Linked DNA regions of Elephas maximus indicus. The protein of the gene in region 1 interacts with the protein of each later gene in a biochemical or structural test. Links are inferred from orthologs where the notes say so. Each region holds a gene or a part of one and is shown in the gene's direction. Other genes may lie near its edges.

The links.
Region 2: of the proteins of AURKB (region 1) and CENPA, one has a biochemical effect on the other in vitro, tested with the Homo sapiens proteins (3 studies listed by BioGRID). The link is inferred for Elephas maximus indicus from reciprocal best matches to the Homo sapiens genes AURKB and CENPA.
Region 3: the proteins of AURKB (region 1) and KLHL9 form a complex in vitro, tested with the Homo sapiens proteins (2 studies listed by BioGRID and IntAct, with this or other methods). The link is inferred for Elephas maximus indicus from reciprocal best matches to the Homo sapiens genes AURKB and KLHL9.
Region 4: of the proteins of AURKB (region 1) and KLHL13, one has a biochemical effect on the other in vitro, tested with the Homo sapiens proteins (2 studies listed by BioGRID and IntAct, with this or other methods). The link is inferred for Elephas maximus indicus from reciprocal best matches to the Homo sapiens genes AURKB and KLHL13.

What each region holds. Positions count from the first base shown.
Region 1 is NC_064837.1:12,566,381-12,573,709, forward strand, and holds the start of AURKB (aurora kinase B), read left to right. Parts: upstream 1-4,311; 5' UTR 4,312-4,370; intron 4,371-4,691; 5' UTR 4,692-4,716; coding exon 4,717-4,764; intron 4,765-6,200; coding exon 6,201-6,303; intron 6,304-6,410; coding exon 6,411-6,468; intron 6,469-6,713; coding exon 6,714-6,905; intron 6,906-7,192; coding exon 7,193-7,329. UniProt on the Homo sapiens protein: Serine/threonine-protein kinase component of the chromosomal passenger complex (CPC), a complex that acts as a key regulator of mitosis.
Region 2 is NC_064830.1:45,052,039-45,059,711, forward strand, and holds the start of CENPA (histone H3-like centromeric protein A), read left to right. Parts: upstream 1-4,670; 5' UTR 4,671-4,871; coding exon 4,872-4,959; intron 4,960-7,673. UniProt on the Homo sapiens protein: Histone H3-like nucleosomal protein that is specifically found in centromeric nucleosomes. Replaces conventional H3 in the nucleosome core of centromeric chromatin that serves as an assembly site for the inner kinetochore.
Region 3 is NC_064827.1:30,999,979-31,006,849, reverse strand, and holds the start of KLHL9 (kelch-like protein 9), read left to right. Parts: upstream 1-3,867; 5' UTR 3,868-4,076; coding exon 4,077-5,930; 3' UTR 5,931-6,871.
Region 4 is NC_064846.1:38,901,455-38,909,405, forward strand, and holds the start of KLHL13 (kelch-like protein 13), read left to right. Parts: upstream 1-4,935; 5' UTR 4,936-5,029; intron 5,030-7,951. UniProt on the Homo sapiens protein: Substrate-specific adapter of a BCR (BTB-CUL3-RBX1) E3 ubiquitin-protein ligase complex required for mitotic progression and cytokinesis.

The sequences.
Region 1 (7,329 bases):
CGGGGCAGGACCGGGCAGAACTGCCCTATAGCACATAGGGTTATCCAAGGAGCGCTCGGTGGATTCCTACAGCCGACCTCTGCGGTTAGCAGCCATAGCACCTAACCACTGCGCACCAGGGTTTCCAGCCTCTAGCTAGCAACTATTGATCTGCTTTCTTGTCTCTATGGGTTTGCCTATTCTGGATACCAGAACCAAAACCAAACGAGTCGTTGTCGACTTCTAGAGACCCTGTGAAACAGGTTTGGTGGATTCGAACTGGAGGTATTTTGGTTACCAGCCAAGGTCTTTACCACCAGGGTTTCCAACGAAGCGTAGTCGGCAGGATTCGAACCTGCGCGGGGAGACCCCAATGGATTTCTAGTCCATCGCCTTAACCACTCGGCCACGACTACACGGGCTGTTGTAAATATTTCATATAAATGGAATCATGCAATACGTGTCGTTTTGTGGCTGCTTTTTTTCATTTAATGTTTTCAAGGTTCATCCATGTTGTAGCATGTATCAGAACTTCATTCCTTTTATGGCTGAATAATATTTCATTGTATAGTTATGACACATTTTGTTTATACATTCATCTGTTGATGGACATTTAAGTTTTTTCCACTTTTCGGCTATTGTGAATAGTGTTTCTGTGAACATTCGTGTACAAGTTTTTGTTTGAGCACCTGTTTTCAGTTCTTTGGAATATGTAACTATGAGTGGAATTGCTCGTCATACAGTAATCCTATATTAAATTTATTAGAAACTACCAAACTGTTTTCCACAGCATATGTTCCGTTTTATATCCCCACCAGCAATGCACAAGGGTTTCAATTTCTCCACACTCTCGCCAACACTGGTGATTTTCCTTTTTTTTTTTTTTTTTTAATTATTATGGCCACCGTAGTGGGCATGAAGTGTATCTCATTGTGGTTTTGATTTGCATTTCTCCAATTATCAGCGAGGAAACTTTGGTGGCATAATGGCTAAGTGCTACAGCTGCTTAACCAAAGGGTGGGCAGTTTAAGTCCACCAGAAGCTCCTTGGAAACTCTGTGGGGTAGTTCTACCCTGTCCTATAGGGTTGTTATGAGTTGGAATCTGCTGAAAGGCAATGTGTTTTTGTTTTCTTTTTAGTAATCAGTGATATTGACCATGTTTTCGTGTGCTTATTGGCCATTTGCATATTTTCTTTGGAGAAATGTCTATTCAGATCCATTGCCTTTTTTCTTAATTATTGTACTTTAAATGAAAATTTACAGTTCAAGTCAGTTTCTCATACAAAAATTTATACAAACATTATTATGTGACCCTAGTTGCTCTATGACAGCACACTCCTCCCTTCCACCCTGTGTTTCTCCTGTCCGTTCAAACAGCTCCTGTCCCTCTCTGCCTTCTCATCTCGCCTCTGAACAGGAGCTGCCCATTTATTTTCATAATATCTACTTGAGCTAAGAAGCACACTCTTCACAAGTATCATTTTATGTCTTATAGTCCAGTCTAATCTTTGTCTGAAGAGGTGGCTTCGGGAATGGTTTTAGTTTGGGGCTAATAAAGAGTCTGGGGGCCATGTCTTCTGGGGTCCCTCCGGGCTCAGTCAGACCATTAAGTCTGGTCTTTTTACTAGAATTTGAGTTCTGCACCCTGCTTTTCTTCTGCTCTGTCAGGGACTGTCTGTTGTGCTCCCTGTCAGGGCAGTCGTTGGTGGTAGCCGGCCATCATCTAGTTCTTCTGGTCTCAGTCCATTGCCCATTTTTTAATTGGATTATTTGTCCTTTTGTTGTTGAGTTGTAAGAGTTCTTTATATATTCTGGATATAAATTCTTTATGAGATATATGATTTGCAAATATTTTTTTCATTTTGTGGGAAGTCTTTTCACTATCTTGATAGTATCCTTTGATACACAAAAGCTTTTAATTTTATCTTTTTTTTCTTTCATTGCTTGTGCTTTTGGTGTCTGACAAACCATTGCCAAATCAAAGATTATAAAGATTTACTCCTGTTTTTTTTTTTTTCTTCTAAGGTGTATTTTTAGCTCTTACTTTTAGATTCTTGATTCATTCTGAGTTAATTTCTGAATATAGTGTGAGGTAAGAGTTCAATCATTCTTTTACACGTGGAAATTTATTTAGTCGTACCAGCATCATTTGTTAAAGAGGCTATTCTTTCTCCGTTTAATGGTCTTGGCGCACTTGTCAAAATCAACTGACCATGACAGAAACTGGAAGAATCCCTGAAACTATGGCCCCCAGATGCACTGTTAAGCCAGAACTGAACCATTCCCAAAGCCCGCTCTTCAGACAAAGATTAGAAAGGACTATAAAACAAAAAAATAATACACGTGAGGAATGTACTTCTTAGTTCAATCAGATACATGAGACCAAATAGGTAGCTCCTATCCAAAAGCAGGATGAGAAGGCAGGAGGGGACAGGAACTGGTTGAATGGATACAGGGAACCCTGAGGTGGAAAGGAGGAGTCACATAGATTGCAACTAGTGTCACAAAACAATATGTGTACAAATTTTTGAACAAGAAATTAACCTGAGCTGTGAACTTTCACCTAAAGCAGAATTAAAAAAAAAAAATCAATTGACCATAAATATATAGGCTTATTTCTAGACTCTTAATTCTATTTCATTGATCTATATTTCTATCCTTATGCCAGTAGCATTCTGGCTGTACCTCCTCCAAGATCTATCTGTATGGGATCAAATTGACAACAGCAACTTGAAAGATTAGATAGGAACCTTAGGGGGCAGTGAGTTTATGTTAATGGGGGAGGAACAACTCAGAAAAGGAGGGTGAGAATGGCTGCACAACTGGAAGAATGGAATCGATGTCACTGAATTGTACATGTAAAAACTGTTGAATTGGTGTACGTTTTGCTGTGTATATTCTTAACAACAAAATAAATTATTTTTAAAAATGAATGAGTTATGTCTGACTGTGTTGATGTGGGAAAATGTCCAAGGAAAACTGAAAGATTTAAAGAGGTAAATCGGAGAGCAATGGGTGTGATGATTCCATCTGTGCCATTTTTTCAAGGACAGACATATACATGCACAGAAAAGATCTAGAAGGGTATATCAAACTAATACGTGATAGAAAAGATCTAGAAGGGCATATCAAACTAATACGTGATAGAAAAGATCTAGAAGGGTATATCAAACTAATACGTGCATAGAAAAGATCTAGAAGGGCATATCAAACTAATACGTGATAGAAAAGATCTAGAAGGGTATATCAAACTAATACGTGCATAGAAAAGATCTAGAAGGGTATATCAAACTAATACGTGCATAGAAAAGATCTAGAAGGGTATATCAAAATACATTAGTAGAATTTACCTCTGGGGAGTGTGGCTGGGACCGGGGCTTTCAAGTTCCTCTTCACAATCACACTGTAATTTTTTCATTTTTCTACTGGTAGGATGAATCATTTTGACAACAAAATGCTGGCACACAGAAGAGCCGGATGACAATGGTTGCCTCTGGGGATAGGAGTAGAGGACTAGGCAATTGGGGTGGTAGAGAGTCTTACTTTTAACCGAACTGTTTAAATTTTATCGTGTTCATGTATATTTAAAAACCAGTAGTACATCGACAATATGGATGAATCTCACAAATAGTATTGAACAAGAGAAGTCAGGCACAGAAGAATACATGTTGTATGGGTCTGTTTATGCAAAGTTCAAAACAGGCAAAACCAGTATGTGGGGTTACTTCTGCGTCGGAAGGAGCAGAAAAGAGGCGAACGTTGCAGCAAGGCGGCGGAGCAGGTTCAAACAACATGGCAACCGCAGGAGAACTTGCAGAGAAACGTCCATATACTTCCTCCTAGGGACGTTTTAGTGGATGCAGGACTTTTAAGAACAAAATAGTAATGACCCAAGGACAGACACACACGCAAACGAACAAATAAGGTGACAGAACAGGGGGCCCAGAAACAGACCCAAAACCGGAACTTCATATATTAAGGGTGGCATTTAAATCACGTTGGGAATGTGGCAGTTTTAACAAATAGTCTTGGCATAACTGACTACCCATCTGTTACATCTTAACTCATACACACACGGATTAATTCCAGAGATATTAAAGATTTAAATTAAAAAAAACAAAAAAAAAAACAAACTTGAGAACATCTGATTCGGGGAAAGAAAACCTCTCCATACCGGAATGCGAGAGTGCGGAAATGCGCCTTCCGCCGTTTCCATTGGGCTCCCACGGCCTAAGTCAGGGAACATCCAACCAATAAGAATTGGGCATGGGCGGTGCGCTCAGCCAATGGGGTCAGGGCGGGAGATTTGAAAGCGCCTCGGCTGGGGCGCGTCGGGGCAGATTCAGTCGTTTGCGGGAGGCAGGGAGAGCAGCTGTCCTGCCGGCTCCAGGTGAGCTAGCCCCCTTCCGCGGGCCTTGCGCCGGGAGAAGACAGGTGATCAGGCAGGTCGGGGTCCGTTGGGCGGGCCCGCGCGCATTCCGCTGGGCTGCTGGGCGTATAAAAGTGGAGAGAGGGTCCTGGAGGGGAGTGGGGCCAGTAGCTGGGAGGGACGAAATGGCAAGCGCCGGGATCCCGACTACTCTGGCCAGCGTGCTGATCCGCTCCTTTCCACCAGCCCCAGGCAGGCGCTTCCGGCTAGAAAGGTCAGACCCCTCCCTCGTGCGCTCATTCTATGTTCTTCTCACGGCTCTGTTTCCCTCCTCCGGCTCAGCTCCCCGCCCCCTTTCCCTCTAAGGATGGCCCAGAAGGAGAACGCCTACCCCTGGCCCTACGGCCGGCAGACGGTAAGGCCCTTTCCTCTCCCTCCTCCCCCTATCCCTATGGCGAGATACTGCTTGGAGATTGTCTAAGGCGCCCAATGCCAGCTTTGGGGTCCTGCAGAGGCCGATCCTCTTAGCACTTTCTTCGCTAGTATGCTCCACTGTATGGGCTCCAAGAGTTTGCTAGAAGAATCCGGTCTGGTCTTTCGCAGCCACGTCCTAAAGGCTTCTCAAGTGCTGTGAACTTGAATCTGACCAACCACTGGCCCCTCTGCTGGGCTGACTGAGCCTACTTGTCACATTCAAGTGATAGCTGGGACTGAGCGTCTGGCCAGAGTCAGGGTCTGGCCTTTGAGCCACGATTCCCTACCCTTGTCCTGAAAAAAATAAGATAGACCGGAAATAGAAATAAGATGTTTAAAAGGTCAAGGACAAGTCTAAATTAATAATTTGGAGTTTATTTTAATAACTAGAGTGCAGAAGGATCTAAATAGAGTATTTTCTAGATGGTTAGCCAGTTGTCCCAACACCTTTCACTGAAGAGTTCACTCTCTGATTTGAAATGCCACCTGTATTATACGTTTTAAATTCCCAAATATATGTGGGTCTATTTTGGGGCTTGTTTATTTGTTGCTGTCTTGGGACAGGTTTCTAAGGGCACTAGGGTTTCTTCCTCTCTGGGCTGAAGAAACACTGCACTGGCTTAGCTCCCTTGTTGGTGTGGCTTAGGCATCCTGGAGGGTCCATCTATCCCTTGTCCAACAGTTCCCTCCCTCCAGGAGCACTTAGTGAGGTTGTTAAGAGTGGAGGCTGAATGAGAAACCACTGTCACCTCTACATTGGTCACTCCCAAAAGAAAGTTGCGTATATTAACCTGAGAGGTTGAAAATTAGAAGTGGTCCCAGGCCACCAAAGTAGTCCTCAGTGTCCAGAAAAGCCTGTTGGTGCAAAGGGCTAATTACTGGTGTTTGCTGCAACGTCCAAGGCTTCAAGGACCTCACCTGAGCCTTAAAGACTGGGCTTTTAGGGGACTGAGAATACCTCTGTGCTAAAACTCCTCGGATTGTGGGTGTTCATTGACCCAGTCCACTACTGCTCCCTAGGGTGGGGGGCCTGGGTGACTGAATGTGATGTTATGGACAGGACTATAGAGGCTGGAGAGCTTTGTACCTGAGAATGTGGTGTGGGCCAGGGCCAAAAAGGTGAAACGTGAGGCGCTGGGATGAGTCTTTTGATCCTTATATAAGTCTAACTTAGGCTGATAACTAATAACACATTGTAATATTGTGCTCTGAGCAGAGTCTTAGGGCTGGGTGGCAGAATTCTATCAGTGTTCCTCTTTGAGCTGGGGGTGAGTGAGTCGTGGCTCCATAGCAAGTAGCTAAATTGCTACACGTAGCACATTCCAGCCCAGTCACTGGGACAAAAGCGCCTCAGAGCTACCCCTTGCTCCTTCTCAGGCTCAATCTGGCCTAAACACCCTGCCCCAAAGAGTATTCCGGAAAGACCTTGCCACCCCATCTGCACTTGTCCTCATGAGCCGCTCCAATGCCCAGCCCACAGGTAACTCAGACGAGGGAGAGGATTGACCTGAAGGGACTGGAGCCTATGGGGAGGGCACAGGGATGAGAAGGTCAAATGAGGGCCTCAACTTACCTGTTCTCTCTTAGCTGCCCCTGGTGAGAAGAAGATGACAGAGAACAGCAGTGGGACACCCAGCTTCTTAATGTAAGTACCCCAAGCCTCGGGGTGGGAGAGAAGAGGTGGGATAGGAAACGAGGGAGGTAAACCCCAGGGGCAGGTGGAGTAGGGATGGGGCAGGAAAGTCTGGTCCATTCTCAGCTCCCTTCCAAGAGAAAGAGGGTTGAGAGCAGGATGGGCTGAGGAGTAGGGAGAAGACAAACAATTTAAATGACCAACAAACCCATGCCACCTCCTGGCACTGAGCGGCCTTCCCCTCACTTTCCGATCAGGCGGCCCTTCACAATTGACGACTTTGAGATTGGGCGTCCTCTGGGTAAAGGCAAGTTTGGAAATGTGTACTTGGCTCGGGAGAAGAAAAGCCATTTCATCGTGGCACTCAAGGTCCTCTTCAAGTCTCAGATAGAGAAGGAGGGTGTGGAGCACCAACTGCGCAGAGAGATCGAAATCCAGGCCCATCTGCAGTAGGTCAACACCCTCCAAGCAAAGCCCCTCTGCCCCTCACCCCCAGCCCCAAGCTTCTCTTTCCATTCCACCACCTCCAGCCTGCTTTCCAGGCAGCTGTGTCTGCTTAGCTCTCAACTGGGCCAGAGCCATGAATCCAGAGAGCTGTCCCCATCCTCACCTGTGTTCCCCTTCACCACTCCCAGCCCTGGCGTCCCCAGCCCGGTCCTGTTTGCCCCATATGGACCTGTCATTTTCCCTGGCTCCTAGCCAGGATGCAGACTGAGGCTCCTCTGTGCTTCCCCAGGCATCCCAACATTCTGCGTCTCTACAACTATTTCTATGATCGCCGGAGGGTCTACTTGATTCTGGAGTATGCCCCGCGGGGGGAGCTCTACAAGGAGCTGCAGAAGAGCCGCACTTTTGATGAGCAGCGAACAGCCA
Region 2 (7,673 bases), on another chromosome or scaffold:
TTACTCTATCCAATCACTGAGTTTATTTTCATAATATGTAATAATTTTTTCATTAGTTTATTTATTATGCTTTCCCCCTCCCACCAGAACATAAGCATTATGAGGGCAAGGACCGTGTCTGTCCAATTTGCTGCATTATCCCCACCCCCTATATCAGTGCCTGGCACATAATAGATGCTCAATAATTGTCTGTTAAGTGAATCATGAAAATTGTGCAGACAAAAGTGATACGTTCTATGTCAGTGTTGTCCAATAGAAATACAATGTAAGCCACTGCTGTAATCTTAAATTTATACTTGTTAGCTGCCCTAGAGTTGGGCCCTACTCACGTCGATCCCGTATGTTACAGAGTAGGCACATTAGAAAAGTAAAAAGATACAAATAAAATTAATTTTAATATATTTTATTTAATGCAATATATCTAAGATGTTAAGGACCCCTGGTGGTGCAGTGGTTAAAGTGCTCAGCTGCTAACCGAAAAGTCCGTGATTAGAAGCCACCAGCTGCTCTGTAGGAGAAAGATGTGGCAGTCTGCTTCCATTAAGATTTACAGCCTTGGAAACCCTATGGGGCAGTTCTGCTCTGTTCTATAGGGTGGCTGTGAGTTGGAATCCACTTGACAGCAATGACTGGTTGGGTTTGGGTTTTGGGTATCTAAGATATTATTGTTTCAACATGTAAGCGATATAACAAATTAATAATAAGATATTTGGTATTAACTTTTTGTACTAAGTGTTCAAAACTCAGTATGTATTTCACACTTACATCACTTCAGATTGAGCAACCACATTTCAAGTGCTCAAGAGCCACATGTGGCTAGTGCCTTCCATCCTGGACAGTTCAGCTCTGTGTCGTTGTTGTTTGCTGCCATCCAGGAGGCCCCTGACTCATGGGAACTCCATGTGTTACAAAGCAGAACTGTTCCATAGGGTTTTCTAGGCCATAATCTTTATGGAAAGAGCCCTGAGGGTGCAGTGGTTAAGCCTCAGCTGATAATGGAAAGGTCAGTGGCTCAAAAGATCACAGCCTTGGAAACCCTACTCTGTCCTATAGGGTCGTTATGAGTCGGAATCGACTCGACAGCCACTGATTTAGTTTGGTTTTGGTAATCTTTACAGAAACGGATTCCCCAGGCTTTTTCTTCCTCAGAGTCCCTGGGTGGGTTTGAACAGCCAACCTTTCTGTTAGCAACCAATCGCAAACCACTTGCCCCATCTAGGGCTAATAAAAATTCACTTTCCTTAGCTAAGAGAATTTATAAGAGTGCATTACCACTAGCTGGTCCTCCTCTCCACTCTTTCAATTCTCCCCCTGCTGTCTTCAGCCACACAGCTGGGGGAGAGGGGATAAACCAAAAAACCAAACCCATTGCCATTGAGTAGATTCTGACTCATAGCAACCATATAGGGCAGAGTAGAACTGCCCCATAGAGTTTTCAAGGAGCGCCTGTGGATGTGAACTGCCAACCTTTTGGTTAGCAGCTGCAGCACTTAGCCACCACACCACCAGGGTTTCCAGAGGTCGTATGGTGTCTGAGAAATGTTTTACTTAATTAGTGGGCAGCTTGTACTCTAGCTGAGAGGGCAGAATTAAATTTCTGAGTTTTAGATATTGTACCCTAATGTCCTTTCCCGTCTTCCCCACTGTCCTGTCAGAGAAATTGTGTAGTCATAGAACAAGTAATGTTAGATCTGACTTAGCAACCTAATTAAAAAAAAAGAAAAATGCATAACGAATCTGTGGCTCAGCAAAGTAACAGTGACTTTCCTGAGATTACACAGGTTCCATCAACCCCCACACCCTCACCCTCTAGTCCCCATCCACCTTCTTCTGATGAGGTCACTAATCGCCCATCCCTACATCTAGCCAAACAGGGTAACCTTTGCTCTCCAAATGACCTCCGCTGGTTTGCCTCTTCTCAGGCTGTGATCTTTGTTTGACACACCATTCCTCCGTCCCCTCAGTCCCACCTTCCCAAATCCCTCCCAATCACCATGATTCTGCTCTACCTTCTTGAGGAAGACTCCCAAATACCCTCAACCTCAATACCCTCCACCCAAGAGTTTCCCCCAATTCCCTCTTCATGGCGCGGTGTCATATCCCTCATCATTTTCATGATAATAGCTTTAGCAAATGCTTGTTCTTCCTTCTTGTCAACACTTCATCACAATTCAAACCTTCAGCAAAGGTTTGCATCACCACTTCAGTGCTTGCTGACTGCTTTAATTTTTTTCTTACGCATTATTCTGTTTCACACTCTCAAATACCTCTAGATGACTCTTATTATCCCCATTTACAGATGAGAAAACTGAAGCTTAGAGAAATTCAGTAACTTGCCTTCACACCTAGGGGCAGGTCTGACTTCCCTTACTTCAAAAGACCACACTCTTAAACACTGTAACATGTGCATAATTGAAATCACTGATTTTTTAATTAATATTTTTCCTGATTATAGTACAAGCTCAGTGTGGATCATTTAGAAAATGCAAGAAAGCAAAGTGTAGAAAATTAAATCCCCTTTTTTTCTAAGACATGAACTGAATTCATATTATCCCCTAACAGGACAAGATGGAGCCAAGGAAATTAGAAGAAGTCATTAAGTCAAAAGTGTGATCCAAGAATAGCGATGAGGCCTGCCCCGCCCGAAACTCATGGCCAGAAGCCTGGTGATCCTGGTTGTCCCCTGGGCCCTAATAGTCAATAAAGCTTATGCAGTGAAACGACTTCTGAGTCATATTTAGAGGGTGTTCACGAAAGAGTCACAGGCACAACATGGAATTGTCATATCCCAGTGGGGTCACTAGGGTTGGTGTCAGCTAGTGTGGTAACTCATTGTGTCTCCCCTCTGCACCAAGGACTTTGGCTTTGGCCAAAATTTTTTTTTAAAAAGCCCTTCTCTCTTTTTATTCCATAGCTTTTACATTTTATAACATTTAAATAGAATCTTCTTAAGCAAAGATATGCAGTACTTTTCTCACAGGTTTCCTTAAAAAGTAAAATCTGGGGAACATCTACATCGGGTGGCTAGGGAATGCCTTTTGAGCCCAGCAGTGATTAGCTCCCTCTGCCTCACTGTGAGGGATACTGTGCTGCTGCCTCAGACTGGGGAATTCCTCATGCTTCTTACTTGCTGGGTGCCATGGATGTCAATTCCCATGAGAAGGCATCCTCTGTAGAGGGAGCTTCCCCAGTAGTTATAGGCATGGCAGCTGCCTTTATTGAGCTTTTCTAATGGATCAGGGATAAGGACTATTCTTAAAAGAACAAGAGTGCATTACGTGGGTTAGTGTCACCCAGTGCAGTAACTCATAGTGTCACCCCTCACCCTGCATGGACCTCATCCTGTACCAGACCATACAGAATCCACAGTAATGTTTTTGTACTCATGCTACTTGTAAATCGTAATTCTGTATATCACTACTTCTTTTCCTTTAGTTACTACTTCATTCTCAAAAAATGTTTTGATATAGGTTCACAAATACTAATTACCACAATATTGTAGCTAAAATATCAGAAAATTTGACAAAATCGACGACTATAAAAACACTGGCAACAATGAAAACAACAGCACATCCTTGTTGCACGGTATAGACAAAACTACGTGATTCCAAGCGTCATCATAATTGGATAACAATGACAGCTCTGACCGGAGTGCATTAACCCCAAACCAAACCCATTACTCTTGAGTGGATTCTGACTCATAATGATCCTACAGGACAGAGTAGAACTGAGCCATAGGGTTTCCAAGGAGTGGCTGGTGGATTCGAACTTCCAACCTGTTGGTTAGCAGCCAAACACTTAACCACTGAGCCACCGGGGCTTCAAGAGTGCGTTTGCACGTTCAGAAAGTAAATTAGCATGGAGTTTCAGCCTTGTAGATATATTGATACATATAAGCTGGGCTTACAAAAAAGTTTTTGTTGTTATAACTACAGGGATTTTTTAAATAAAATAATAAATTTCTGCTGAAACACTGCGCAAAAATTTTATAGACAGTCATTTTGGTGTCACCTTCTCCGGCAGTGTCACCTGGTAGAGTCAGCACTTCCCACCCCTCAACCCTGCTCCCAGTGACGTCACTGCGTACTCCCTGTGGACCTCACTTTCCTCATCTTCAAATGCTAATTTACAGGGTTGATAGGGCCAAACATAAAATGTCTAAGGAAAGTAATTTTTTTTTAGAGAAACGCGTTCTACAAACGCATTTTTCAAATTGAGCTTGCTCTGTTTGAGCATCGAAGCCCTGGTGGCACAGTATTAAGGCGATTCACTGCCAACTGAACGGTTGGCGGTTTGAAACCACCAGCGGCTCTGTGGGAGAAAGATGTGGCCAACTGCTTTTTACAGATTTACAGCCTTGGAAACCCTATGGGGTGGCTACGAGTCTGAACCGACTCCACGGCAGTGAGTTCGGTTTGGGGCTTTGACCAGCGGTCACACTGAACGAGCGATCTGACTGCTCAGAGAACACCCTCACGAACGAGCCGCGGCAGGAGAAATTCCCGCCTTCTTTCACTTCGCCAAGTGTCGGTTGGTCGGTTTCACCGTCGATCCCGGCCCTCCTCCTATCACCGCCCCGCTGCGTTCCCGCCGGCCTGTGTTCTCATTGGTCCACCCCGCAGCCTTCTACGCCATGGGCGTTCCAGAGTCAGCCACTGGGAGTAGCTGAATTTGGGTTTAAAAAACGCCGGTAGTGAAGTAGCCGCAGCGAACGTTTTGAACGGGGATTCAGCGTTGTCTACCCTCCGAGCGACAGCTTCTCGGACCCACGCGGCCCTGGGCTCTCGGACGCCAGCCTTTCGCCCCCGAAGCCCGTGGAGTGGGGCCGCACGCTTGGCTCGGGGCCGAGCGCCGACCCCTCCGGCCCAGCCATGGGCCCGCGCCGCAGGCGCCGCAAGCCGGAAACCCCGCGGAGGCGCAGCCCGAGCCCGACGCCCCCGGCCCCGCGGCGGCCCTCAGGTAACCGGGCCGCGGCCCCTTTCCCTCCGAGCCGACTTGCAGCCCGTCTGTGAGGCAGGCACGGCCGGTCCGCGTCACAGACAGGGAAGGGCACTCGCGTGCCGGGCTGGAGCTGCGGTAGAGCCGGTGTCGCCCGCCTCCCGGCCCAGTGGCCTTTCTCCGCAAGGGGCCGAGCGGCCCTGCCATCGGGCAGGGGTCCCGGGAGCGGCCGAGGGGCTGGACAAGGAAAGGACTGCATTCTCTTTATTGTTTATTGAGCCCTTACCCCTAACAGCTCGGAAGAAAGGCCTGGTGATCTACTGTCCCAAAATCGGTCATTCATGGGGTTGCCATCAGCCTGAATCAACTAACTCCACGGCAACTGTTTTGAGTTTCGTTTTAACCACTAACTAACAAGGCATTGTGCTAAGCTCTTTAGGTACATTATCTCAACTGTATATTGTCCCTATTGTACCGATGAGAAAACTGAGGCCCGATGACTTGAGCAAAGTCACCCAGCTTGTTCCAGGAGATACGGGATTTTTAAAAATCTGTGTTTGTGCTTTTTAAAATTGCGTAAGTATTGGCGGCTTTCAGTAACAATTTCAAACGCAATCCTGCTCTTAGAAGGGATCTTTCCAGGGTTGTTTTCTTCAGTGAGTGGCAGTGTTGGCGCTGAGCCAAGCCCGCTAACTCCAAGAGCTCTCACTCTGTTCCCTTCCATAAGTTGTGTCCCTGGGAAGGAGGACCGAGTTGTGGTCCTCAGTTTCTGTCCTGTGGATGGGTGGCAGCAACTGCTTTACTTATCTTCTAACTCTTGTTCTATAGCCAAAAAAAAATCCAAACCTGATGCCGTCGAGTGGATTCCAACTCATAGCAACTGTTTAGCTTATAGCTAAGGGCAGGGTGAAAAATGAGTGTATTATAGGTTATATAGAGAGGCTGCAGTTGTGATTGGGGTTTTTCTTTCCTAAAACATAACCTTTGCATCCAGCCACCTTGCTGAATTCTCTTGTTCATCCTAATAGTCTTTTAGTTGCTTTAATTGAAATTTTTGAGTAGACCATTATATTGTCTACAAATAATGACTTTTATATTCCTTTTTAAGTTCTATGTGTTTTTATTTATGTTTTCTTATTGTATTAGCGAGGCCCTGAGGCTAATATCGAAATAAGAGTAGTGCTTTGGCTATCTTCGTTCCTGATTTTAACAGGAATATTATTAAGTATGATATTATCTGTTGCTTTCTTATGTAGAAGCATCCTTCCACTCCAGACTAAAAGTTTTTTCTCAAATGGGCACTGAACACTTCTGCACGGGCCCTTGGTCAGATCCTCCTCTCACCTTCTCAGAGCCTTTCTGTTACCCTTTCTACCTGTGCTTGGAATTCAAGCTCCTTGTATTTTTTCCTCCATAACTGAGATGCTTCTGGTATTGGTTATTTTGTTTGCTGAGCTTGGTTCCTTTCATGCTGTTGGCTTTCTTAAGTTGTTTGATGAGTTTTAGTCGTGTCCATCTTTACATTTTCTGTGACTGCCCTTACCTGTTTACTAAAGGCGGCCTCCAGGCACTGGATGGCTGACTGGTGCAGGGGAGGGGTGGATGCCAGTTGTTTATCTCCTGGGTCTGGGGCCACCTTCTTTCTCCTAAATGTTACTAGTCACCTGGACACTGCTCTGTTTCTTTGGTCCACATTCCCTAACCAGGGATAAAATCTCCACTGCCAGCCATTGGCTCAACTCCCAACTCATGGTAACCCCACGCACAGTAGAACGAAATGCTGCCTGTTCCTTTGCCATCCTATCATCCGTCTGGGATCTGACTGTAATTAGCTGACTTTCAGCAGTAGATCGTCAGGCTTTTCTTCTTACTCAGTCACAGTCTGGAAGCTCCATTGAAACCTGTCTAGCATCATAGCAACACGCAAGCCTCAGATGGATGGTGGCTGCCATGAGGTCCACTGGCTGGGAATTGAACCCAGGTCTCCTGTGTGGAATGTGAGAACTCTCCCACTGAACCACCGCTGCCCCCACCCACTGCCCAGCACAAGCCATCTCTGGATTGCCTTGCCTTCCCCCACTTGCTCTTCAGCTCTTCTGACAACTTTATGATTAGTTTGCCGTTTTAAAACCCTTCTATTGAACTATTTGTGGGTTCTCTTTTCTTGACTGGACCTTAAACAACATTTCAGAAGTTAATTTTGTTCTTCAAGATGTTAGTTTCTGTAGATTGTATTTTTTTTATTTTTTTATGCAAAGTTTTAAACTTATCCGAGATTTGTCCATTTTATTGGTCATTGATTTTATTTATTGAGCAACTGTACTACTTTTTTTTTTAATTAATTTTTATTGTGCTTTAAGTGGAAGTTTACAAATCAGGTCAGTCTCATACAAAAATTTACATACATCTTGCCATACACTCCTAATTGCTTTCCCTCTGTTGAGATAGCACAGTTCTTCCCTCCACTTTCTGTCCTTGTGTCCGTTCGTGTAGCTTCTGGCCCCCTATGCCCTCTCATCTCCCCTATATTTTTTGTTTATTCTTTTTCATTTATGTTGCATTACCTTTAATACTTCTTTTGCTCTAATGTTCTCTTTGTAACACATGAGTTGAATGCTTAGCTCCACTATTTAATGTTCTTGTTTTGTAATAGGTATATTTTCAGATCACATGTTTTTCTCTAGTAATACTTTCACTGTATCTCATAGGTTTTGAGGTATAGACTTTTTATTGTT
Region 3 (6,871 bases), on another chromosome or scaffold:
ACATTGCTGTACTTCAGGATAGATCTTGAAATGATTTTTTTTTTTTTTTTTTTTTGACGATGAATGTGATGCCATTCCTCTTCAATTTGTCATTCCTGGCATAGTAGACCATATGATTGTTCAATTCAAAATGGCCAATTCCAGTCCATTTCAGCTCACTAATGCCTAGGATATCAATCTTTATGCATTCCAATTCATTTTTGACAACTTCTAATTTTCCTGGACTTCGTACATTCCACAATCCGATTATTAGTGGATACGTGCAGCTGTTTTTTTCTCATTTTGAGTTGTGCCGCATCGCAAATGAAGGTCCAGAAGGCTTACTCCATCCATGTCATTGTGGGTCATCTTCCGGCACTATATCAGACAGTGTTTCACTGTTATTCATAAGGTTTTCAATGGCAAGTTTTTTGAGAAGTAGACTGCCAGGTCCTTTTCCTAGCCTGTCTTCATCTGGAAGCTCTGCTGAAGGCTGTCCACTGTGCATGACCCTTCTGGTATTTGAAATACTGGTGGCATAGATTCCAGCATCACAGCAATAGGCAAGCCACCACAATAGAACCCAGTAGAGTATGATGTAGAGTATTTAGCAGAAAGGGGTTCTCTCTTTCTTCCTTCCCAGAAAATTGTAAGAACAAAGAAAGAGGGAAGGAGGGAAAATAATCAGACTTTGTTTCCTGTTATCTTCTGAAAAGAGAAAAGTATACCAGGTAGGTTGAGGTGAGCACCAGAGACAATGGGTTCTTGTCCCGCTACTCACTTTAAGAATGGTCATTGGGTACCATCTCATGGGTTACCCCACACCAATCTGGAGGGTCATCACATAATCATGGCATCACAGAATGGTCAGCCAAAGACAGACTCTGAACTTTACAACTCTCCTGACATGTCCTCTCTGCCTTTGTGGTGAACACTGCATTGAGAGGCAATAAGCCTCTAAAGTGGCAGAATGATGTGACTTGTAGCCATGACTGGTGTGGATCACCTGGTCTACAGGCTGGGACACCCAAAGCTGAAGGAAAACTGAATCAACAAATAGAGAAGATAGGTGATTTTCACAGAGAGGTCTGACTAAACTAAAAGAATGAACCTAGGTTGGCCAGCTGCAGATTGCTATATATATTCAGTATATATTCATCTAATATATGTATATTCAGTAAGAACAAGGGAGATCTCTCTGAAGACCTGGTGCCACCAGCACACAAACAAGGACCACACCAAGCTGGAGGTGGGGTTCTCAAAGGTCAGGAGAACATTAAGCCTCCATTCCCATACTTTCAGACACCATTTAAGAAAAAAATCAGAAGGAAAAGACTCAGAGACTGATCATTTAAACAGATCATTTGAAGCATGAGATCAGACTAAGCTTAAAATAAAATTGGACATTCAGTTGTAGTTAATACTACCACCAATAATTCAGGGGTGTGGGATCTGGAAAAGAATTGGTTTAATGATAATAAAATTAAGGCTTTTTTCCTTTTCTTTTCAAATCTAATTTTGAAAACCAGCTACATATAGTTTAGATCATAAATGCAATTTTGTACATATACATTTATCGTATATCTACTTACAGTGTTAAAAACAGTTGCAAACAGTATTTTTATGGCTATATAATAGCAGATGACATGACCTTGCTTGCTGAAAGTGAAGAGGACTTGAAGCACTTACTAATGAAGATCAAAGGCCACACAGCCTTCAGTATGGATTACACCTCAACATAAAGAAAATAAAAATCCTCACAACTGGACCAATGAGCAACATCATGATAAACGGAGAAAAGATTGAAGTTGTCAAGGATTTCATTTTACTTGGATCCACAATCAACGGCCATGGAAGCAGCAGTCAAGAAATCAAAAGACGCGTTGCATTGGGCAAATCTGCTGCAAAGGACCTCTTCAAAGTGTTGAAGGGCAAAGATGTCACCCTGAAGACTAAGGTGCGCCTGACCCAAGCCATGGTATTTTCAATCACATCATATGCATGTGAAAGATGGACAATGAATAAGGAAGACCTAAGAAAAGTTGACGCCTCTGAATTGTGGTGTTGGCAAAGAATATTGAATATGCCATGGACTGCCAAAAGAAAGAACAAATCTGTCTTGGAAGAAGTGCAGCCAGAATGCTCCTTAGAGGCGAGGATGGCGAGACCGCGTCTTCCATACTTTGGACATGTTGTCAGGAGGGATCAGTCACTGGAGAAGGACATCATACTTGGCAGAGTACAGGGTCAGCAGGAAAGGAGAAGACCCTCAACAAGGTGGATTGACACAGTGGCTGCAACAATGAGCTCAAGCATAACAACGATTGTAAGGATGGCGCGGGACATGGCAGTGTTTCATTCTGTTGTGCAAAGGGTCGCTATGAGTCGGAACCGACTTGAGGGCACCTAACAACAACATAATAGCACATTATATGAATGTACAATAACGTACTTAATCATTACCATGTTGTTGACTATTTCGATTATTTTTAATTCCTCAGTATTAAAAATTAAGTTATATGATAGACATGTTTTTGCATAATTTTCCATGTTTAGTATTATTTCGGTAGACCATAATCCTAGAATTTAATTACTGTACCCTTATCCAGACACGTGGAAACCCTGGTGGTGTAGTGGTTAAGTGCAATGTCTGCTTAACCAAAGGGCTGGCAGTTCGAATCTACCAGGCGCTCCTTGGAAACTCTATGGGGTAGTTCTACTCTGTTCTATAGGGCCACTATGAGTCGGAATCGACTGGACAGCACTGGGTTTGTTTGTTTTTATTTTTGTTTTTTTTTTGGTTTTTATCCAGACGCGGGGAAGTTCTGTGTCCAGATTCTATAAATTTGTCACAAATTCTGTAAAACAATGGACACAAGAATGTATACATCCAAGAACAAATAATGGGCGAAGGAAATAATAATATGCATAGTTTTTTTTACATAGTTTTTGGAAAATCGTGTAACCTTTTAGTAAATTGTGAATGGAGAACAAAAAAAAAGCATGAAGAAATTATTTATGATGGAATTGCACTGTGAGCAAAAAATTCAGGACAAATTCAGGATATAATATGATCACGATTTCAGAGAGATGTGTGTTTTAAATAAAATTTGAAAATATGAGCCAAAATGATAATTGAAGTGTCTGTTAAATTGTGTGCGAAAAGAATTGCAGGTAAACTCTTTTATAGACAAAAAATTTTAAGTATCTTCTTCTCATCCCCTCCGGTGCCAGGTTACCACTCAATTTATACACTGGCAGGTTCAAGGAAATTCAAAAGGCAAAGGCAGGAAGTGTAAATCTCATAGGAAAAATATGCATTTTGGAGAGCTCAGACACCGCAAAAATGGTTATACTAAATGCAGCAAAATATACGTGCACTCCTTGCGGCCCATTCAGGGCTACTTCCACTGTGACCCTAGGAAGGTCTGCTCGCCCCCACCCTCGCAACCTCATTTCCCCGTCCCCCGCCCCTCCCTCCAGCATCCCGTGCACTTCCTCTCCCCTCCACTGCACGCCCGCCCACCGATGAGGTCAGGCGAGTGCGCAGCCGCAGTAGCTGCCGCGGCCGCTCCTAACCCAGGGCATCTTGGGACTCGGCTTTTCCGGAAGGAGTGGCTCGGCGTCTCGGGTTAGGCCCGTGTTCCCGGCCCAGGCCCAGGCCCAGGCCCAGGCCCGTGTTCCAGGCTCCTGCTCGAAGACAGGCCCGTGACCGCGGCGACGCGCTGGTGACAGCGGAGGGCGCAGCGGGCCGCTTGCCGAAGTGCCCGGCTTCGCGGCGGAGCTGCAGTACGTGGCGGCGCCTGAAGGAGCGGCAGCGCAGGCCGGCCGAGGTGAACCGGGTTATTTAACTGCCTTCAGGTGATGACTCATCTGCATAATAATCAGATTTGAGGTCCGCAGCCGTTTGTGGTCCTACGGAGCAGTTTTCAGTGGATGACTGTCAGGTGTGCCCTGAGGGGTGCCACAGTTACTGCTCGCCCTTGTTAAGGAAAGCGAGCTGTATTGCTCTTTGGAAGCCCTCGTTTCCTCGAAAACATTGTTTATTAACCTCTTTCTTCAGCATTCTTCTGTCTGTGCAAGAGGAAGGTTTTCACATGAAAGTGTCTCTTGGTAACGGCGAAATGGGCGTCTCTGCCCATTTGCAGCCTTGCAAGGCAGGAACCACGCGCTTTTTTACCAGCAATACTCACAGCTCGGTGGTATTGCAAGGTTTTGATCAGCTTAGAGTAGAAGGATTGCTTTGCGATGTGACCCTGGTACCAGGTGATGGAGATGAAATCTTCCCTGTTCACAGAGCTATGATGGCGTCTGCTAGTGATTATTTCAAAGCCATGTTTACGGGTGGAATGAAAGAACAAGATTTAATGTGCATTAAGCTTCATGGAGTGAACAAGGTTGGTCTGAAGAAAATCATTGATTTTATTTATACTGCGAAACTGTCTCTTAATATGGACAATCTTCAAGACACACTTGAAGCTGCCAGCTTTTTGCAGATTTTACCTGTTTTGGACTTCTGTAAAGTATTTCTTATATCAGGGGTCTCTTTAGATAACTGTGTTGAGGTTGGACGGATTGCTAACACCTACAATCTTATAGAAGTGGACAAATATGTTAATAATTTCATCCTGAAGAATTTTCCTGCATTGTTGAGTACTGGGGAGTTCCTGAAACTCCCTTTTGAGCGGCTTGCCTTTGTGCTTTCCAGTAATAGTCTTAAGCACTGTACTGAACTTGAACTCTTCAAGGCTGCCTGTCGCTGGCTAAGGTTGGAAGACCCTCGGATGGATTATGCTGCAAAATTAATGAAGAACATTCGATTTCCACTGATGACACCGCAGGACCTCATCAATTACGTGCAAACTGTAGATTTCATGAGAACGGACAATACCTGTGTGAATTTGCTTTTGGAAGCTAGCAATTACCAGATGATGCCATATATGCAGCCAGTGATGCAGTCAGACAGAACTGCCATTCGATCTGACTCGACTCACTTGGTTACATTAGGAGGAGTTTTGAGGCAACAGTTGGTTGTCAGTAAAGAATTAAGAATGTATGATGAAAGGGCACAAGAATGGAAATCTTTAGCCCCGATGGATGCTCCTCGTTACCAGCATGGCATTGCTGTCATTGGAAACTTTCTTTATGTGGTTGGTGGTCAAAGTAATTATGATACGAAAGGAAAAACCGCTGTTGATACTGTTTTTAGATTTGATCCTCGGTATAATAAATGGAAGCAAGTTGCATCATTAAATGAAAAGCGCACATTCTTCCACTTGAGCGCCCTCAAAGGATATTTGTATGCGGTTGGTGGGCGAAGTGCAGCTGGTGAACTGGCCACAGTAGAATGTTACAACCCAAGAATGAATGAGTGGAGCTATGTTGCAAAGATGAGTGAACCCCACTATGGCCATGCTGGAACAGTGTATGGAGGTTTAATGTATATTTCAGGCGGAATTACCCATGACACTTTCCAAAATGAGCTCATGTGCTTTGACCCAGATACAGACAAGTGGACACAGAAAGCTCCAATGACTACAGTCAGAGGTCTGCATTGCATGTGTACAGTTGGAGACAAACTCTATGTCATTGGTGGCAATCACTTCAGGGGAACAAGTGATTATGATGACGTTCTAAGCTGTGAATACTATTCACCAACCCTTGACCAGTGGACACCAATTGCTGCTATGTTAAGAGGTCAGAGTGATGTTGGAGTTGCTGTCTTTGAAAATAAAATTTATGTTGTTGGTGGGTACTCTTGGAATAACCGTTGTATGGTAGAAATTGTCCAGAAATATGACCCAGAAAAAGATGAGTGGCACAAAGTTTTTGACCTTCCAGAGTCACTTGGTGGCATTCGAGCTTGTACCCTCACAGTTTTTCCACCTGAAGAAAACCCTGGATCACCTTCTAGAGAATCTCCTCTTTCAGCACCTTCAGATCATTCCTAAGACTAAGGTATAATACATTTGCAGTGCATCATGGATGATCTCTTTTCCTTCAGTTGTATTTCTTTTTACAGTGATTGGTACAGTTATTAGATAAAAGGTAATCGATGTCATTTGTGTTTTTTTGCCTTAGTATGTTTACCAAACGACTAATAAATGCATTCTGAAAATGTGTTCCACATAGCCAGCTGTTTTAACAAATGAAAAAAAAAAAAATGTGTAGAAAATGTTTAAATTAGATGTCTTCTTGTGGTGTTGTGTAAGTCAAATTGGAGGTGATTGTAGTAAATACACTCATGTTACAGAGTTGCAAGTTTTCATCTTTACCTGCAGGACATCGAAGGGAGGCAGCCTGTTGTAACCTAAAACAAGTATTGTTAGCTGACCTCCTCTTTTCGTAGAGCTTTTAACCTATCTGTGAACTGAACTTACCAGATTGTATGGATTCACACTATGAGACATTTCTTGAAAACATGAGAAATAATAAATTCAAAATATTAACTTGAAAAATCAGTAAAGCCCTAAGTCAGAGTTTGATATCTCTTTTTAGAGAGTTAATACACATAATTTTAAAATCCATTTGCACTTCAACTATGTGTGAAATTGTTTTTACATTAAAAAAATTTCCCCACAGATCAGCTATTTCTATTCATATGGGAATTCTGTACCAGAGGATACTGAATTTAGATAGATAAGGGCTGTAACATTAAATTGACAACCAAATTTGTCATTTGACTAAATTGTTGTGTCACATGAAATTTACATTACTTTTCTGCTTTGCTGTTGAAGTAACTTGTACATTGTTTTATGTAGAGTTGCTTTTCTTCAGGTTATTTAGCAAAGTTCAAATTTCAAAGAATTGTTTTTACTCAATGTAGGTTTCACTATTTTTGTTCAGTAAAACCTAGGAAAAAAGTGAAGAAATAATGCTGAACAAAGTTAAA
Region 4 (7,951 bases), on another chromosome or scaffold:
GGAGACTTTGTTGGGGGTGGGGGGTTGGGGAAGGAAAATTGATCAGAGGCAGTTCAGGTACAACCTAATGTTAAGAGGCAAATTCTTAACAAGGTCATGCTTATGAAACTGGGACCTTTGTTCCCAAGGAGTTGCTGCTGCTCATTTCTCCCTTAAAATCTCTAGGCAAGCCCACAAGAATGAAATGTAGGATTACACCCAAAGAAAGTCAACAGGAAGAAATAGAAGCTGAACCTCTTTAGGAACAAGGCTCCTTATGTCCACATGTCCTATCATCAAGAACAAAGAAGGCAAACTTAGTAAAAAAGAATTGGCTATTCTGGAGCACTTTTCATCAAAGGATCTTGAAGTATCTTAGTAACATTAATCACCACAACTTCTCTGTGTTGAGTAGTGAGTGTTATTATCCCATTTTATAGATTAGGGAAGTGTCAGAGAAGGTAGAGGACTTGCCCAAGTTATACAGTGATTGGCAGAGCTCATCTGCCAGCAGGAAAGAAGTACAAGGTTTTTAAAAAACAGTTTGGGGTGTTATTAAAAGGGATGTAGTAGAATGGCATATTCCCACTTTCAGCATTCCCTTGACTAACACAATTGAACAATTATATGATAGTTGTGAATTGACATTTATTTAAATATACCTGCAAGGGCTTAATATTTAAGGCAGAAACGTACAGACTAATTTATTCAATTTGTTTTTGTAAAAACAACTTTTTTATGAATCTGGTTTATTTAGAGTAGGGATTGCTTGTTTACTTAGACACAGCTTATTTTTTCACTTCATAAGCATTTATTGAGCACTCATTATTGCCAGACAGTGAATCAGATATAGTTGCTGATCTCAGGAAGCTTATAATCTGGTAGGAGGAGGCAGACATGCAAAAAGTGCTCTAAAGTGTTTCAGGTGCTCTGCTAAGGAGTAGGTTGAAGCTGAAAGGTTGGTGGTTTGAAAGCACCCAGAGGTACCTTGAAAGACAGGCCTGGAAAACTGCTTCCAAAAGGTCATAGCCTTGAAAACCCTATGGAACAGTTCTACTTTGCACACATGGGGTTGCCATGAGTCAGAATCAACTTGGTGGCAACTAACAACAACAACAGGAAGACTTATAAAGTACTTCCTATGTAGCAGGCACTGTTTTAAGTGCTTTTGTGCATCATAAAGAAGGATCCCTGGTGGTGCAATTGTTAAGGTCTTAGCTGCTAACTGAAAGCATTTCAGTTTGAGCTCACCAGCCACTCTGCAGGACAAAAGACCTAGAGATCTGTTCCGGTAAAGATTTCCGCCTAGAAAACCCTATGGTGCAGTTTTACTCTGACTCTATAGAAAAAAAAAAAAACAAAAACCAGTTTTTTCTATAGAGTTGCTATTGACTCAATGGCACACAGCAACAACACCCATAATAATTATTTAACCTTCAGGAGAGGCCTATTTGGGAAGAAATTGCTGGTATTGCCATTACAAAATACAACGAATGGACAAAAAGAGATTTAGTAATTCGCTCAAGATCACACAGCTAATGAATGGTAGCGCTCAAATTGAAACCCAGGCCAACTTTGCTTTTCACTATTTCCAAGGTGTGTGCATTGCCACCTGGGTTGGCGGGAAATGCTTCTCAGGGAAAATTACACTTGAATGAGTCTGTTTAAAGAAGAAGCAGTTTGCTAGGCTGACAAGAGGAGTGTATTCCTATTAAGATGGTCAAATGAGCAACCCAAAATCCACTGCTGTCAAGCTGATTCAGACTCACAGGGACCCTGTAGGACAGACACTGCCTCATAGGGTTTCTTTCCAAAGCTGTAAATCTTTATGGAAGCAGACTGCCACATCTTTTCTTGCAGAACAGCTGGTGGGTTTGAACCGCTGACCGTTTGGTTGGCAGCCAAGCGCTGCAACCACTGCGCCACAAGGGATCCTTCAAATGAGCAATCACACTGGCAAAATGAAGCAGTTCCCTGGCATGTTTGAGAAACAGGTTCAGGAGAGAGGAGAGGGGAACATGGAAAGAGGGGTGATAGAGTAGGCCAGCTAGAGCTTCAGGGAAGGAAAAAGCGGGAAAAGGAGGAAACTTGAAAACGGTTGACAAAATTAGTTTGACAGATTATCTAAGGATTCATTTACCAAAACACTAGCATTCTCCTTTATCAGGGAGAGCTGAGAAATTTTAACTATGTTTAAGTCATTGGTTGTGTGTGACCCTGGGCAAATCACATTCATTCTCCGGGTCTTAACTTTATCATCGGTGATCTAGAGGGCCAAGGCAAATTTGAGTTCCTTTCCAGCAGTCTCATGATTTCCTGGAGTTCTAATGTGCAAAGGAAAAGCCAAATTTAACTGACAAGTGACATATTTAGATTTTCATTTTAGAAAGATGAGGACATTATAGGGTTAAAAGTATGATAAATTAAAAAAAAAATAGCTTAAACTGTGAAGTACAACACCTGCTCTGGATTATTCCACATGGGGAGTGTTACCTTGTTCACCTTGGAAGCATTTCCCTCACTCTCTCTTCTATGTTTAACACAGCTGCCTCCCCTTTAGTTCTAATGTTCTCTCCTTCCTCACTTGGACTGACTTCTTTTTTTCCCCATTCTTCCTTGGGTGTCTCCTTTGACAACTAAATTCTTCTGTGAGTCTAAATTCCTCTGAGTTTTCTTAATTGTTTCTATTGTTTTAACTACCACCCGTATATAAATACCTTCCAATTAACTGCTCTTGTTCTATATCCCCAGTGCACATGGTGCCATCTAAAAATGATATGGCTAAAATATGACTCCACATTAAAATTTCTCCAAAACCTTTCATTTTTTATTAGAAAACCATATTTTTCTCTTCTATTCTTATTCTTAGTACAGAAAAAATTAGAAAGTGTAGATGAACAGCCGTAGCTCTTAACCACTACACCACCAATATTTCCAGTGTGTAATGTAGGTGTATAATAATTATTGAATAAGGGTAGTGGAGAAGCTAATGAATGCATTCCTGTTAATAAAGATGAATTGGGTAGAATGCACTGACAATAACAAATAATAACGTGATTTCCTTGTGCATTTGGAGTTCTTATCTTTTCACCAGTTTGATAAAGACTAACAGTGTGGTGATATCTTCAGTTCGAGCACGTTTTTGAGTAGCTGATCATTCTCAAATTTACCTAAAACTCACTACTTGAATTTTAATATGTGGAATTTGAAATAACAAGTCAGCAATAGCAAGATCTCAGATTCCAGATCAGTTTACTGGAAGGCAGAGAGAGTAATACTAGGAAACATAAGAAGAAGAAAAAAAAAAAGAACTACAGTGTCATAAATGCCCTGATCCTCATAAAAAAAAGAAAAACCAAACCCATTGCTGTTGAGTTGATTCCAACTCATAGCGACCCTATAGGACAGAGTAGAACTGCCCCATAGGGTTTCCAAGGAGCACCTCTCACCCTTAAAAATAAAACAGGAAAAAAAAAAATCCCAATTATTAAACTGGTTGCTAACAGCAAGCTCCCGCTATTTTTCCACGGAGGAGTCTGGAATTATAAGTAGAAACAGAGAAGGAAGAGGTGTAAGAAGGTGGCCCCAGGCTATAATCACCAAGAAGTCAAAGAATGAATGAGGAAACATGTAAGGAGGCAAACAGGCTTGACTAGGGATTTCCTTGGGGGCTAAGTTGACAGGAGCAGCCCTGGTGGCACAAAAGTTAAGCGCAATGGAAAGGAGAAAGACCTGGCCATCTCCTCTCTTAAAGATTAAAAAAAAAAAAAAAATCCTATGGGGGCAGTTCTACTCTGTCACAGGGGGTCACTAGGAGTCCGAAATCGACTGTACAGCGCCGAAAGACAACAGGTTAACAGAACTGGGAGGATAGAATCAAGATCCTGACTTAGTAATAGCAGTCCCACCAGAAGCAGTATAGCATAGTGGATGAGAGCTTGGGCGCTTTGCCATTTACAAATTCTATAACCTTGGGCAACTAGCTTAAAATTTACGCCTTAGCTGTCATTTGTAAAATGGAGATAATAATAGTGGGTACCTCGTGGAGTAGCTGTGAGAGTTAAGACAGTTAATGGATCAGAGCTTCATTCATAGCAAACGTTCAGTCAATGTTAAACTGCTGTATTTGTGGTTGTTATTCTTCCTGTTTCTTAATACTCTGTCAGGAGGGGGAGAGATGAAGCGCTCACTCATCGCGCTAGAAGAGTGATGAACTGTTGCAAGAAAGCCTGAGTCAGGTTTCTTTTGAAGTGAGAATCCCACTGAGGTGAAGTGGCCCTGTTTCTACAGCACACACCCTTTCCTGGCCCCGCTGTGCTGAGGAGGCCAGGGCCAAAGCTGGCAGGAGGCACGGGCGGCTTCCTCTTGGAGTGGCTAGCCCCGGGCGGGCGCACTTTTGCTCCTGGATATTTGACAGCTTTCACCTCTCCTGCCTCCTGGGCACTAGAGGCCAAGTATGCTCAAACCCTAGCGTCTAGGTTTTGGAGGCGTGAGGAACATTTGACTGTCATCCCGCCTCCGGGCCCATGCTCGCCCCACTTCGGTCACTGCCAGGGAGTTCAGCTCGGACCCCGCACTCTGTGCTAGCCCCAGCTCCCCCCGCCTCCGCGCAGGCGCCGCCAGGGCCACCCCCGCCGCCATGTTGCCCCCGCCCGGGCTCCCTCCCACCACTCTCCCCTCTCCTCCCCCCTAGGTTCCCGCCCCTCTCCCTCCTTCTCCCCTCCCTCCCCTCCACCCCCTGGTGAGGTCAGCCGGAGGCTCTGCTGCTGCCCGCCCCAGCTCAGCTCCTATTTAAGGGAAGCCTGGAAAGGGGACTTCTGGAAATAACTGGAGCGCCGTTCGGGTCCAGGGTCCGCGCTCTCCACCTCCGCCAGCACAGGGTGAAGTGGCCAGAGCCAGCAAGGGGTGCAGAGGTGCGGCGGTGCGGAGGTGAGGGTGCTGGTACCTCACAGTAGGAGGGAGCCTCGATTGCGCGGAGCGACTCCCGTTTTGGCCCCAGGAGCGCAGCAGCCGGCGGACGAGTGGCGGGACCCCGGACGCGGCAAACAAGGTGAGGCAGGGTCCCGAAGTTGCAGGGGCTCCATCAGCCTTGTCCCCGCCTCCCGGCCTCCGGGACCGAGCGCCGCGAAGCAGCGCGCGGCGAAGAGTTCCCGATCTACACTAGGGCCAGTGGGACAGGGGACCAGCTTTGCTCTTTGCACGCCTCCCCTTTTTCTCCCGCGTGCGTGTGCACGCCCTCATCCGAGCACCTTCTCATTCCCACCTCAGGGTCTCCTGGCTCCGCAAGATACCTGGGTTCTTCTAGGACCCCAGAAGCCAGTTTTCCCTTTGCTTCTTTGTTATCCCTCCAAGGTCTTCCTGTCCGGGCTTCACTGTCGCTGTCCTGACGGTCTCGGGCCCCTTTGCCTGCCTCGGCCCCACTGACTCCTGTCCTCTAACAGCTTCTCCTTTGTGCCTCCCAATCCATCCCTCCCTCAGAATCTTCGAACTTGGAAGCCTCCGCCAGGAGCACACGCCTCTTCTCCCTCCAAGCTTTCAACTTCGCTCTGAACGTCTTGACATCTTTGGTTTAATCACAGTTGAGTGCTGATTTTTTGGAGGCTTACAGTCCAGCCTATGGTTTACTGAAAGTGGTGGGAACGATCCTTTCGTAAATATCAGCTAAGGAACCTGAAAGTTTCTAGGTTTCAATAACTTGGTCCACGAACCGTTGCCAGCCATCTCTCCATCCGTGTATCCTAGTCCAACGCAACCCCCATCCCCCAATAAAAAGGCCCTAACTCTTGGCCATGGGGTCGATTCAGAAGATGTAATCCTAGTATAGTAAAAAAAAAAAATTTTTTTTAAAAATCTGATTCGTCCCACCCTCCCCTCCGCTGCTGAGTCAGCCTGAGAGGACTGGTGGGACTTTTGATTGCTGACTCCATTTCTCCACCTGTAAATTGGGATGTTCAATGGTTTAATATAGCCAGAGGATTTTTAGTGAGTTAAAAAATCACTCAAATTGGGGTAGCCTAGTTACTAAGGACCCATAACTTAGTAAGACGGCCCTGGTTTTTTTTCTGGGTTAGTTACTAAGGACATTGAATAGAATCGGAGAGACTGGGATTTAAAACTGTCTTAGTCGTGAAGGAACCTGCAACAGAGGAAAATACTTACAGATTTTTTTAAAGCAAGCCACAATTTTTTACTGTAGATTTCATATTTGTATACACTCCCAAGAAACAGCATTTCAAAACCATGTAGTTTTTCAATAAAACTATTTTTTTCCGTGCATTAGACGTTAGTTTGCTTAAGTGGACTTCACAGCACCAGTTATTCTCTTAGCAATTCCACCTTCTCCTATGCAATTGCCATGTCACCTCCCACACTGAGATGCGTTTGCTCACTTCCTTGCTGTAATTAGCGCCGGCAGAAAATTCAATGGAGAAGCTGAAAGTGGAGGCAGATACGAGTGAGTGAGCACGTGTTGATGTATGCAGCTGTGTTTTAGAAATAGGCTATATATCTAATGCACAAATTTGAAAACGGAGAAAAAAATGAAATCATTAAGCACTTATGACATCATTTTACATAAGAAAAAAATTAGCCCCCTTAGCTGCAGGTTCTTATTAATATCCTTATCCTTAAAAGTAATAGAATTGTTTGCTTGATGTGTGACCGGGTATTGCTACTGACACTATGTGCCCTAACTGGCAGTAATCTCAGAAGAAACCAAGTTGTGAGTGAAGATAATAGCTGAATTTCACTATCCGAGTAGCACTTCTTTTGGCAGTGACGCAGTGAGGGCAGCTTATGCAGCAGCGTCTATTTTGAAATAAAGCCTCATTTTCCCAAGGTTGTTAAATCTACCACTTTTATAAACATGCTTTAAGAACTGTGGTGTGACTATAGGGTTGAAGTTGATGTGCTGAAGAAGGGGGGTTTTACAAGAAGAATAAAGGCCATTGATTATCCATTTAGTTCGGTTACAATGGCTTCCAGATGATTTTTATACTTTTTTTATAAATTTGGTAAATTTTTGACTTCATTTTAGTTCTATGAAGAATAAAATATAGTAGGGAAAGGGGACTTATCACAGGCCCATCCTTCTAAATCTGAACTTTCTTGGGAACTTTTTTTCAAAAAGAATTTATATCAGGTAATTTTACATGATTTAAAATATCTTTTCCTTTTGTGATTATTATTGATACTAATTCTGAACTAAAATTGTCACTAAGGTGATGGTACAGTAAAACTATGTTTGCCAGGAGAAATAGAGGTAGGTGTGAGTTAGCTGTAAGCATTTTCTCGGAATTTTTTTAATGAGTCAATATGTATTTGATAGTTCGCCTAGTACACCTACAGGTTATTATGCTGGATATTTCTGTTATTAGTAGCATAACTGCAGTTTGGTGCTGGATTGTCTTATTTCTCATTTACTTTACATTTTCAATTATTTTTCCTCAAGTATTTTGGCTTGCAATAGTTAAATGAGACTAACCAGTCCCAAATTGTGTGATTTTATTGATATTTAATAAACTATGAAACTGTCCTCAAAATATTTTTTCTTAAATCCATTGGTTGAGACATCTATTTTTATTGCTGTGAAATAACAGTTTGGTAGACACCATTAGATTTCAGAAAATCTAGAAAGATTTTGGAAAATATAACTCAAAACTAGAAAAAGTGCTTCCTCAAGTTACTTAACATTCACAGCAATCAGGTTGTAAATACATTATTCATTCATTTAGCAATTCATTTTCCAAAATCTAAATCTATTGAGCGCTTTCTATGTGCCAATGCCCTGTACTAGGCACAATGGTAAAACTTATAAGACATGATACTTGCTCTTGTGGAGTCTCATGGAGCTTATAATCTACTGGAGGATATAAATAATAAACAAGTAAACAAATGAGGAAAATACTTACTGACTGTAGTAAGAATAGAGAGGGGAATGAGTAGGAAAATGTGACATGGAGAACAGGGAAGT